Linked DNA regions of Yarrowia lipolytica. The protein of the gene in region 2 interacts with the protein of the main gene of each other region in a pairwise test. Links are inferred from orthologs where the notes say so. Each region holds a gene or a part of one and is shown on either strand. Other genes may lie near its edges. The genes, in order: YALI1_F14688g and YALI1_B07094g.

Region 1 (4,448 bases), on a different chromosome or scaffold from region 2:
ACCACCTTATCAAGAAGGCTGTGTCTGTGCGAAAGCACCTCGACAAGAACCGAAAGGACGCCGACTCCAAGTTCCGACTCATTCTCATCGAGTCTCGAATCCACCGACTTGCCCGATACTACAAGTCTGTTGGTGTTCTGCCCCCCACCTGGAAGTACGAGTCCGCCACTGCTTCCGCTCTTGTCAACTAGAGTGTTTAGTGGTTGTACTTTACATAAAAATGAAAATGCATTAGCGCCTATTTATCATCAGGACGAAATACGAGAACGTAGTTCGAGTGTTTCCGACTCTATCTACCATGCTGTAAAAGAAGTGAGAACAACGTCCGAACAACCATGAGAGGAAGTAAACATGTGAGGATACCAGAACCTCCGGTCGAGTCGACCTAAAAGAATCTCCACTACTTGTACTTTACATTCTTCAATAATTCGGTTGAATCACTATTTACTATACTATACTACATACTATACATCTCCTTCAGTCCGTGCGACAGTGCGCACTTATTGAGCCTTGGGCTTGTAGCCAATCGCCTCAAGTCGCTCCAGCAGCAGAGGATGGGATCGGTGGTACGAGTTGTACAGCCAATCGCCGTCGTAGTTGCTGAGGTTCTCCTGGTGGATGGTGATCAGACTCTTGGCCAGAGCATCGCCATAGCCAAGGTCCTTGGAGAACTGGTCGGCCTCAAACTCGTTCTTTCGAGACATGCCGTTCATCAGGAAGGTGACACCGTACTGGATGGGGCTGATGACCTGCAGATAAAGGGTGTTGAACAGGTAGGCGGCGGGTCGGTCGTTGCTGAAGAAGCCGAGAGAGGTGTAAAAAGAGTCGTTGTGAGCAAACGCCAGGAATCCAAGAGTCAGAGTCAGAATGTTTGCGTTGCCGGCAAGCAGCGTCTGCAGGATATGGTTCATCTTCCAGTGACCGAGCTCGTGGCCAAGAATGGCCTCAATCTCGTCGGTGGAGCATTGCTCGATCAGAGTGTCGTACAGGACAATCTGCTTCTTCCAAGGCAAACCGGTGAAGAAGGCATTGGAGTGAGCGGATCGGGTAGAGCCGTCAATGACATAAAGGTCGGAAAGAGGGAAGTCCAGCTTCTTGGCAAGAGCCTCGGATCGGTCCTTGAGCTCGCCGTCCTCAAGCTTTTCAAACTTGTTGAACATGGGCATGATCAGAGTAGGAACGGCGTACATAAGCACAATCTGGAGAACCACAACAAAGCCAGTAAAGTAGGGGACGAAAGACAGACCAAACTTGATCAGAATCTTCTCAAAGATGCCAATGTACAGACCCTGGATGGTAAAAGAGAGGGCCTGCTCCTTGAAGAAGTCGAGAACAAAGGTCTTGGGGGTCATCTTGTTGAAGCCGTACTTCTTCTCCAGCACAAAATTCTTGTAGTAAGAGAAAGGCAGCTCCAGCAGGGAGCTAACGAGGCCAAAGACGTTGAAAGCAAAGGCGGTGTGAACGGGGGTTGACAGGGCGAGCTTGTGGAGGGTCTTGGCACCAAAGAAGGTGGCACCGGCAAGCTTGGGGGCGATTCTCTTTGTGAAGCCCATCTTGGTGACATGGAAGATTTTGGGGATGACGTTGAAATGGATGGTGGCAAGGAAATTGACAAGGGAGTAGGTGGAGTGGACGAAGGAGAACCGCATCTTGGCCATGGAGTAGTCGTTGGATTCAGTCAGCTTCTCCTGGGAGACAATACCCTGCAGGCTGGCAGGCACCTCGGTTCGCTTGTAGACCTGGTACTGTCTGTAGTTAAGGTAAGACTCAAGCAGGTAGTCGCCAATGGCGGTGCCCACAATGATCTGTCTCCATGGGACGTTGGGGCTGTCGAGTTTTCGAAGGTGCTGGATTAGTACGGAACGGAGGAGAATGGTCAGAGTGACAACTGAGTAATTCAGATGAGGGTATAGAGCCAGCCAGTCGCACAGGTGGCATCATATAGCAGGTCGTATAGAGCCAGCTTCCAGCGACACGACCACCAATAACAATTAGTATCCGACCGCATCATACTCCACCAACTGACAACACCACTTCAACTAGCGACACAATCCCATCAGAAACGCTGGCTCAACTGTATCTCACACAACCGAAATCTTTGCAGCATTCAGGTCTGGCACTGGCAACTGATCTTGACGACTGGCTCGATTTGGCTCACATTGTGTCGTGAGGTTCGCCACGCCGCCGGCATCATGCAGTCCATCGCGGAGAGTGTCAATTTGGCGGTAGAAACGCGCCTGGGGCCTGTTGGGGCGCGTCAACGTGTGTGTGTCGTGTTTGTAGTCGGTGCAAACGCCCGTCTGGCGCAAATACTCACTTCCATCGTGTGGTTGGTGGGGAATAGAACAGCGTGTTGTGAGGATTCATGCAGGCCCAGATAGGCAATTGTGGTTTATTCAGGCAACTTTATTTTCCCATTGATTACTGGGGGGGACTTCGATAGGTCCAGCTTTTTACGATATATTTTAAAATAAAGTCCGGAAAAACGGTACTGTGGGGTGGCTCGAAAAGCGCCAGAGAGTGCTCGAACGGACGAAAATTGGTTTTGAAAAGGAGTTGGAAGGTATGTAAATCACGTGAGTAGCACCCAAATGTGATTTGTGCCTTTTTGGTTACAAAAAGGGTCACTTTTGACGGTGGCATCGTGTGTACGCTCCGACCCCCAAATCAACCCTATAATGAAGGGAAATAGGGAATGCTCATACCCCGTTGGTACGGCTCTTTCCGCACGTGGCTCTCAATGAATGGCGTGGTCCGTGATTGTTGATATTTCGAGTAATTGTGCAAGTTTTCTTGTGTCCTTGCAGTACAGACAGTCATTGCTGATGATAATATATACAAGTAATAATCAAGTAAAATAACACAAGTGGATCAGTCCTGTACTCGTGCACCACCGTAATTTCGTACATTTCTCGCAGCCGGAGTAATATTTTTCCGAAGCTGGGGAGATGTACATATGAGCTGATCGGAGGTTTGTCTATACGGTCTTGTATTGACATTCCTGTCATTATTATCACCATGGTGATGATTAATATCGAATAACCCACGTGAAGGTCGACATAATTCCACTGAGAGTCATGAAGGTGAGTATGTACATAACCACTACTTTACAGGTTGTACTGTAGCTGTAGCGTTACTCGTACACTCGTGCAATACAACCAAACACATGCACTTGTAGACGGCTCAGAGGGATTGGTGCATACTTGAGAGGACACCATCTCCAGTAAACTCCGTCGGCTGTGACGTAAGCAGACGTATCTCCGTTCCGAGGCTCTCCACCTCCGACAATGAAACCCTATCCGTCCGGTGGTGTGACTTTTGATGCTGGGGTTGCAGAGGTTGCAGGTTTGGACGTTTTAGTCGAGTGCAGAGAGTAAATGTTTGCGTCAAGTGAGCAAATATCGTGGATACGACTCCACAAGGACATAGCAAGGCGCGTCTTTGCCGAGTTTTCTGTGTGTATGGCAAATGTGTAGTGTATCGTACACTGTGTATCCTGACGGGTCGGTCTGGTTGTTTGGCGTTTCACCCTCATTCGAGATTGGAGGTACGAGTATGGTACAAGTACTAGTGCGGTACAAGTACTCGTGCGGTACAAGTACTGTACATACTCATACTGTACATCTCACTCGTAGACGATTGATTCTGGTCAAAGTGACTTGTAATACTGTACAAGTACGACAGTCGCTGTCGTGGTCTTGATACAAGACGAGTACAGTACATACCGTACAATGACTGGAGCTGTTGTCCTGAATTGTAAAAGTATCGCATCTTACTCATTCTCGCATTCCACATCCTTCTGTAACCTCACTGGTGCCCAAGTCTCTCATTACGTCACGACTTACTTGTTGTTTTCAAGCAATCCGACCCCGGAAATGGCCATCCAGACGCACCCTGGCTTGTTTGAGGTCTGCCTCACCCTCCGCGCACCACATGTACGGACGGCCTGACTTCCGCTTGTGCTTGTTCTTGCTACTTGTGCGGATACTTGTACGCCACGGTGAGGCAGCGGTGCTCCCCCGAAGTGCAGTTCCCCCGTCCGTTCCGAACAGAGAACAAGTACAAGTGGGCAGCCAGATGAGGAGGAGGGGAGAAGGAGGAGAAGGGGGAGGAGAAAGGACCTTCTTTTCACATGGCGTTGTCCACATGGTAAATAATACCGCACAATAGACGGATCACACGGCCGTTGGAGCGTCTCTTGTTTGACAGGTACAGTACAAACACTTGTCCCTCGTACGTGCCGCGGTCGTACCTGTCTCATCACCACGCCCCTCTCCATTATTATTACCACCTGACATTTTGCATAACCGCCAAAGGTTGTTCCTCCATGTCGTCAAGGTCGTCAAGGTTACTCGTATCGGAAAAATGGGCCCTTGGAGCTTCCGGTATTAGCTGATGTCGTATCGTACTCGTCCTGTAGGTGTGAGCAGATCCATGCCTGCCATGAG
Region 2 (4,146 bases):
AATGGCAGGTTGCACCCCGAAGTGAAATCGGCCTTTATCTGGGCGATATTCAGGACCATATCGTGACTATGGTTCAGTCTGTCAACCATTTCGAAAAGATTCTTGCTCGAGCGCATTCCAACTGTCTGGCCCAAGTCAATATCGATATGACGAAGATCAACAACGATACAAACGATGTACTGGGTAAGATTACTGTCCTCGGTACTATTGTGCTTCCGATGAACATTGTCACCGGTCTATGGGGTATGAACGTCATTGTTCCTGGACAAGAACATAAAGGCACCGTTTGGTTCTGGGGAATCACGGCATCGCTGTTTTTCTTTGCTATCGCCTCCTACTGGGGGGCCAAGAGAGTTTATGGGGTCTAAACTAACAAAAGCCGAATATAGAAAGGAGAAGACGGGGGTTTGTTTTATAGTCAATGTCAAAATTAATGTAACTGCAGGTTCAATTACTCGTTTATTATTAATATAGTCCGAAGGTATTATTTTACATATAATCTAGTTACGCTCTCGCTTGCTCCACACAATATAGGAGGGATGGACAGGAAGCGTGATCATGGAAGTGGTGTCAACAGCAGGAAGCTTTGAGCCCTCAGGGACGGTCCACTTGAAGTTTTGAATGTAGCAAGACATGAGGGTGGTGAGCTGGCAGTTGGCGAACTGCTCGCCAATGCATCGGTGTCGGCCACCTCCAAAGGGAAGGTAAGGGGAGGAGACACCCTTGGAGATGGCACCAAATCCGTAATCGACAGTCTCGCCGGCCTCAGCGTCGGTCTCGGACTCGGCCATCTTCTCTGTAGGAGTCATCCATCGACGAGGATCGAACTTCTTGGCATTGGGGAAGTATCGCTCGGCCTGCTGTGAGTAACCAGGGGAGGCCATGACAAAGTGGCCCTTGGGCACGACAAACGAGGTACCGGGGACAGGCAGATCTCGCATGACCTGTCGGAAGATAGAATGGATGGGCATATGCAGACGAAGCGTCTCCTTGATGGTATTCTGCAGCTTGGTCATAGTCAGAATGTCCTCGTATGTAGGCTGTCGGAATGATCCGTCAGCCTCACCAAGAATATCAACTTGCTCCTGGTAGAGTTCATCCTGGATAGCAGGGTCGAGACCAAGTCGGAGAAGCATCCAAGCAGAAGTTGAAGCAGAGGTATGCTGACCGCCCATTAGAACGCCGATAAGGAGGTGGGCAATTTCCTGGGGAGTCATTCGCTTACCATCCTTGTAAGTATGGTTTTTGAGCAGAGCGTCGATGAGGTCACGGTCCTGGACGTCCTTCTCCATTCGTCGTCTTTGAATGACAGACATGTATGTATCACGAATCTTTTGCTGGGCGAGGTCACGCTTTCGATAAGAGGGCAGAGGAAGGTTGGGGAAAACGAAATTAATAGGAGTGAAGCCGTTATCAAGATCGGAGTAAAGCTTGGCAAAGTCACCGTTAAGCTTGGATCGGATCTCGTCACCTAGCAGACACCGAGAGGCAGTGAAGATGGTCATCTGAGGCTGAGTGGTCATGACATCTGCCTTACCGGTCTTACCCTCAAAGTTAACTGCAAAAAAGTTGGTGACTTCCTCAACGATCTTGGGAACGTAGGATCGAAAGGCATCACGAGTGAGGGCACCCTTGCAAAACTTCTTCTGCTCCATAAGTCGAGAGTTGGGGCAGTCATAAATAACACCGGTGCCGAAAACAGGGGTGGTGAGGTGAGTGTAAGCCTCCTCCGCAGACACGTCTGCAAGCTTGGAGTTGAAGACAAACTCGTGGCCCTTAGTGCCCAGAGACACGGTCATGACACGACCAAGCATGTAGAAGGAAAACACGTCACCATAACGGTTTCGGCAGTCCTCGAAGAACTCGTAGGGATCGATACCATAGGGGATAGATGATCCAACCCAGGGGATCCAGTAGAAGGCCATAGGGGCCAGAGTCTTGTTTCGTCGAGCCAGAAGTTGTGACCCAATAACGTAGATCTCTGTGATGACAGCAAGGATGGCCAGGCCAGCAAGAATGTGCCAGCCTTCCACGGGAATTCCCATGTTGTTGAGCGTCGTGAGAATGATCATGTTGTGGTGGACTTGAGTGAGAGACCAGTTGTAGATGTTGAGAGCACCAGACAAGATGAAGTAGAAATGGAAGGATAAATTAAACTCTTCTGGAACCTCGTCCACAATCACGAAACCTTATTTTCTTCCAAACCTGCTCGCTAATGTCGTATGTATCGTGTCTAAATGTAACGGTCCAATTACATGGACGATAATGCCAGGGATAGGGGTAATAAGAAATAAAAGTAACGGGCTCGGAAAATATGTACTTGGACCACTGTGAGAATCCTGAGGATGCAGCAGTCCTGATCCAGTGGATTTTGTTATTTTATATAGGCCGATGGCTGGCTCGGGGTATCCTTCATGGATCCCCCTGCTATGATTATGCAAGGTATGACACCACCTTTCAAATGGAGAAATCATCACGTCATGGAATGTGTGTAAGGGGCCAAAGTTAGCTTCTGTACCAAGAGAGATGCAGTGGTACTATATCATGTCCACTCATCGTACCACAATAAGACAGTACAGTAATCACTGCCTGTGCACAGCCTGCAATTTAGCCTAACATGCAAAAACGATGGTGCTTGTCATACGCGGCTATGCTGGAAATTTGATATCGCACGAAGACACCACGTGGTACACGATAGCTACAACTACAAGTAGTCTTGATTTAAGAATGAGCTCGCCAACCCTTACGGGTGTACTTGCACTTGTACTTGTAGAAACAATGGTTGTAGACTTCTGATGTTATTGCGTATGTAAACTTTTTTTTCTGCATATACATTCATTTAATTATAACTTTGCTGTGAAAGAATAACCTTTGAAATGAATGTACGCTTACACGAATATTACTAATAAAACAAACACAAGGTTACTTGGGATGGAAATGCTCGCTTAGTAAATCCACAATGAACTGTATCGAGCTTGCTAACTACTGACGCGTACAAGTATCGCAACAAAGATTACGGAGACACTCCGATTATCCGATCCGAGATTTGCCAGTGCATATGATTACTAATAAAGATGATTTTTAAGGCGTACTGATCTACAAGTACAGTATGTACTTGTAGTAACTTGTTTGATTCGTCGAAGTTAAGATTTAGTACCTCTCTGTACATCTTTTAGTATCTCTATAGTATATCATACTTACCTTCCCTCCTCATTAATAAAGCCACTTATGGGATTAATTCACTTTCTACTTGTGGGTTAGTTACAATTTCAGTCGTCTTCTTCGGCACTCTACAAGTAGTACTATTGCGGCAATTAAATCTCCTAAATGCTGTACCATACTACTTGTAGACTTCAAACATCGATCAGCTGAATTGCTTACATGTACAAGTAGCTACTGTACACGGTACTTGTAACATGTTCGCAGGTGTTGTTTCCAAACACACTACAGTATCATTGACACAAGTTAAGATTCTGTTTTGGTATTAAGTCGGTGTAGTGAGCAACCTTTACTTTTCAGGGTCAACGCTCTCATGACAGATTGCCCTAACCCTTGAGAGCTTGGTTGCCATTCCATAATCTAATCCCAGTGACCTTTATTGAGACCATGGCCTATTATAAAGATGGAAAGTGTCCAGGAAGAGAATATTTGAAGCTTCGGAAGATGATGACAGACCAGGGTATTTGAAATTACCGTATCAGGATGTTGGGTCAAACCTAACCGCTGTTTCCCGATTTAACACTCCCTAATTAGGGTCTCTCTACCCACCACCCCACATCTGATACATATGGCACTTGCATAATCTAATTGTGCCACTTACACTACACTCGCCACTCACCATGAAACTCTCAACAATCGCTATTTCTGCCATTCTGGGCTCTGTGGCCCTCGCAGCTCCTGCTCAGGAGGAGCTTCGGTCTACTGCTATGCTGATTCAGCAGTCCGAGGAGTTTCAGCGTCTCAACTATGACGAAGGCCTTCTTTCCCTGCCCGACCGAGATGAATTGCGACTTGTGGAGACCGCCCCAGGTGTCAGAACCTGGATGACCGAGGCTGAGAAGCTGGTTCTCAAGCGACAGGGTGTCCGGTTCTTTGATGTGACTGGAGAGGACCAGATTCGAGCATCCGAAGAAGTTCCCCCCGTTA

The links.
Region 1: the proteins of YALI1_B07094g (region 2) and YALI1_F14688g interact in a protein complementation assay, tested with the Saccharomyces cerevisiae proteins (2 studies listed by BioGRID). The link is inferred for Yarrowia lipolytica from reciprocal best matches to the Saccharomyces cerevisiae genes ERG11 and STE24.

The regions. Positions count from the first base shown.
Region 1 is NC_090775.1:1,466,771-1,471,218, reverse strand, and holds YALI1_F14688g (uncharacterized protein), read right to left. Parts: upstream 2,324-4,448; coding exon 2,318-2,323; intron 1,848-2,317; coding exon 501-1,847; downstream 1-500. Other genes in the region: YALI1_F14712g (40S ribosomal protein uS15), read left to right, coding at 1-191. UniProt on the Saccharomyces cerevisiae protein: Proteolytically removes the C-terminal three residues of farnesylated A-factor mating pheromone. Also acts to cleave the N-terminal extension of the pheromone. Does not act on Ras.
Region 2 is NC_090771.1:707,372-711,517, reverse strand, and holds YALI1_B07094g (uncharacterized protein), read right to left. Parts: upstream 2,073-4,146; coding exon 501-2,072; downstream 1-500. Other genes in the region: YALI1_B07134g (uncharacterized protein), read left to right, coding at 1-368; YALI1_B07076g (uncharacterized protein), read left to right, coding at 3,840-4,146. UniProt on the Saccharomyces cerevisiae protein: Sterol 14alpha-demethylase that plays a critical role in the third module of ergosterol biosynthesis pathway, being ergosterol the major sterol component in fungal membranes that participates in a variety of functions.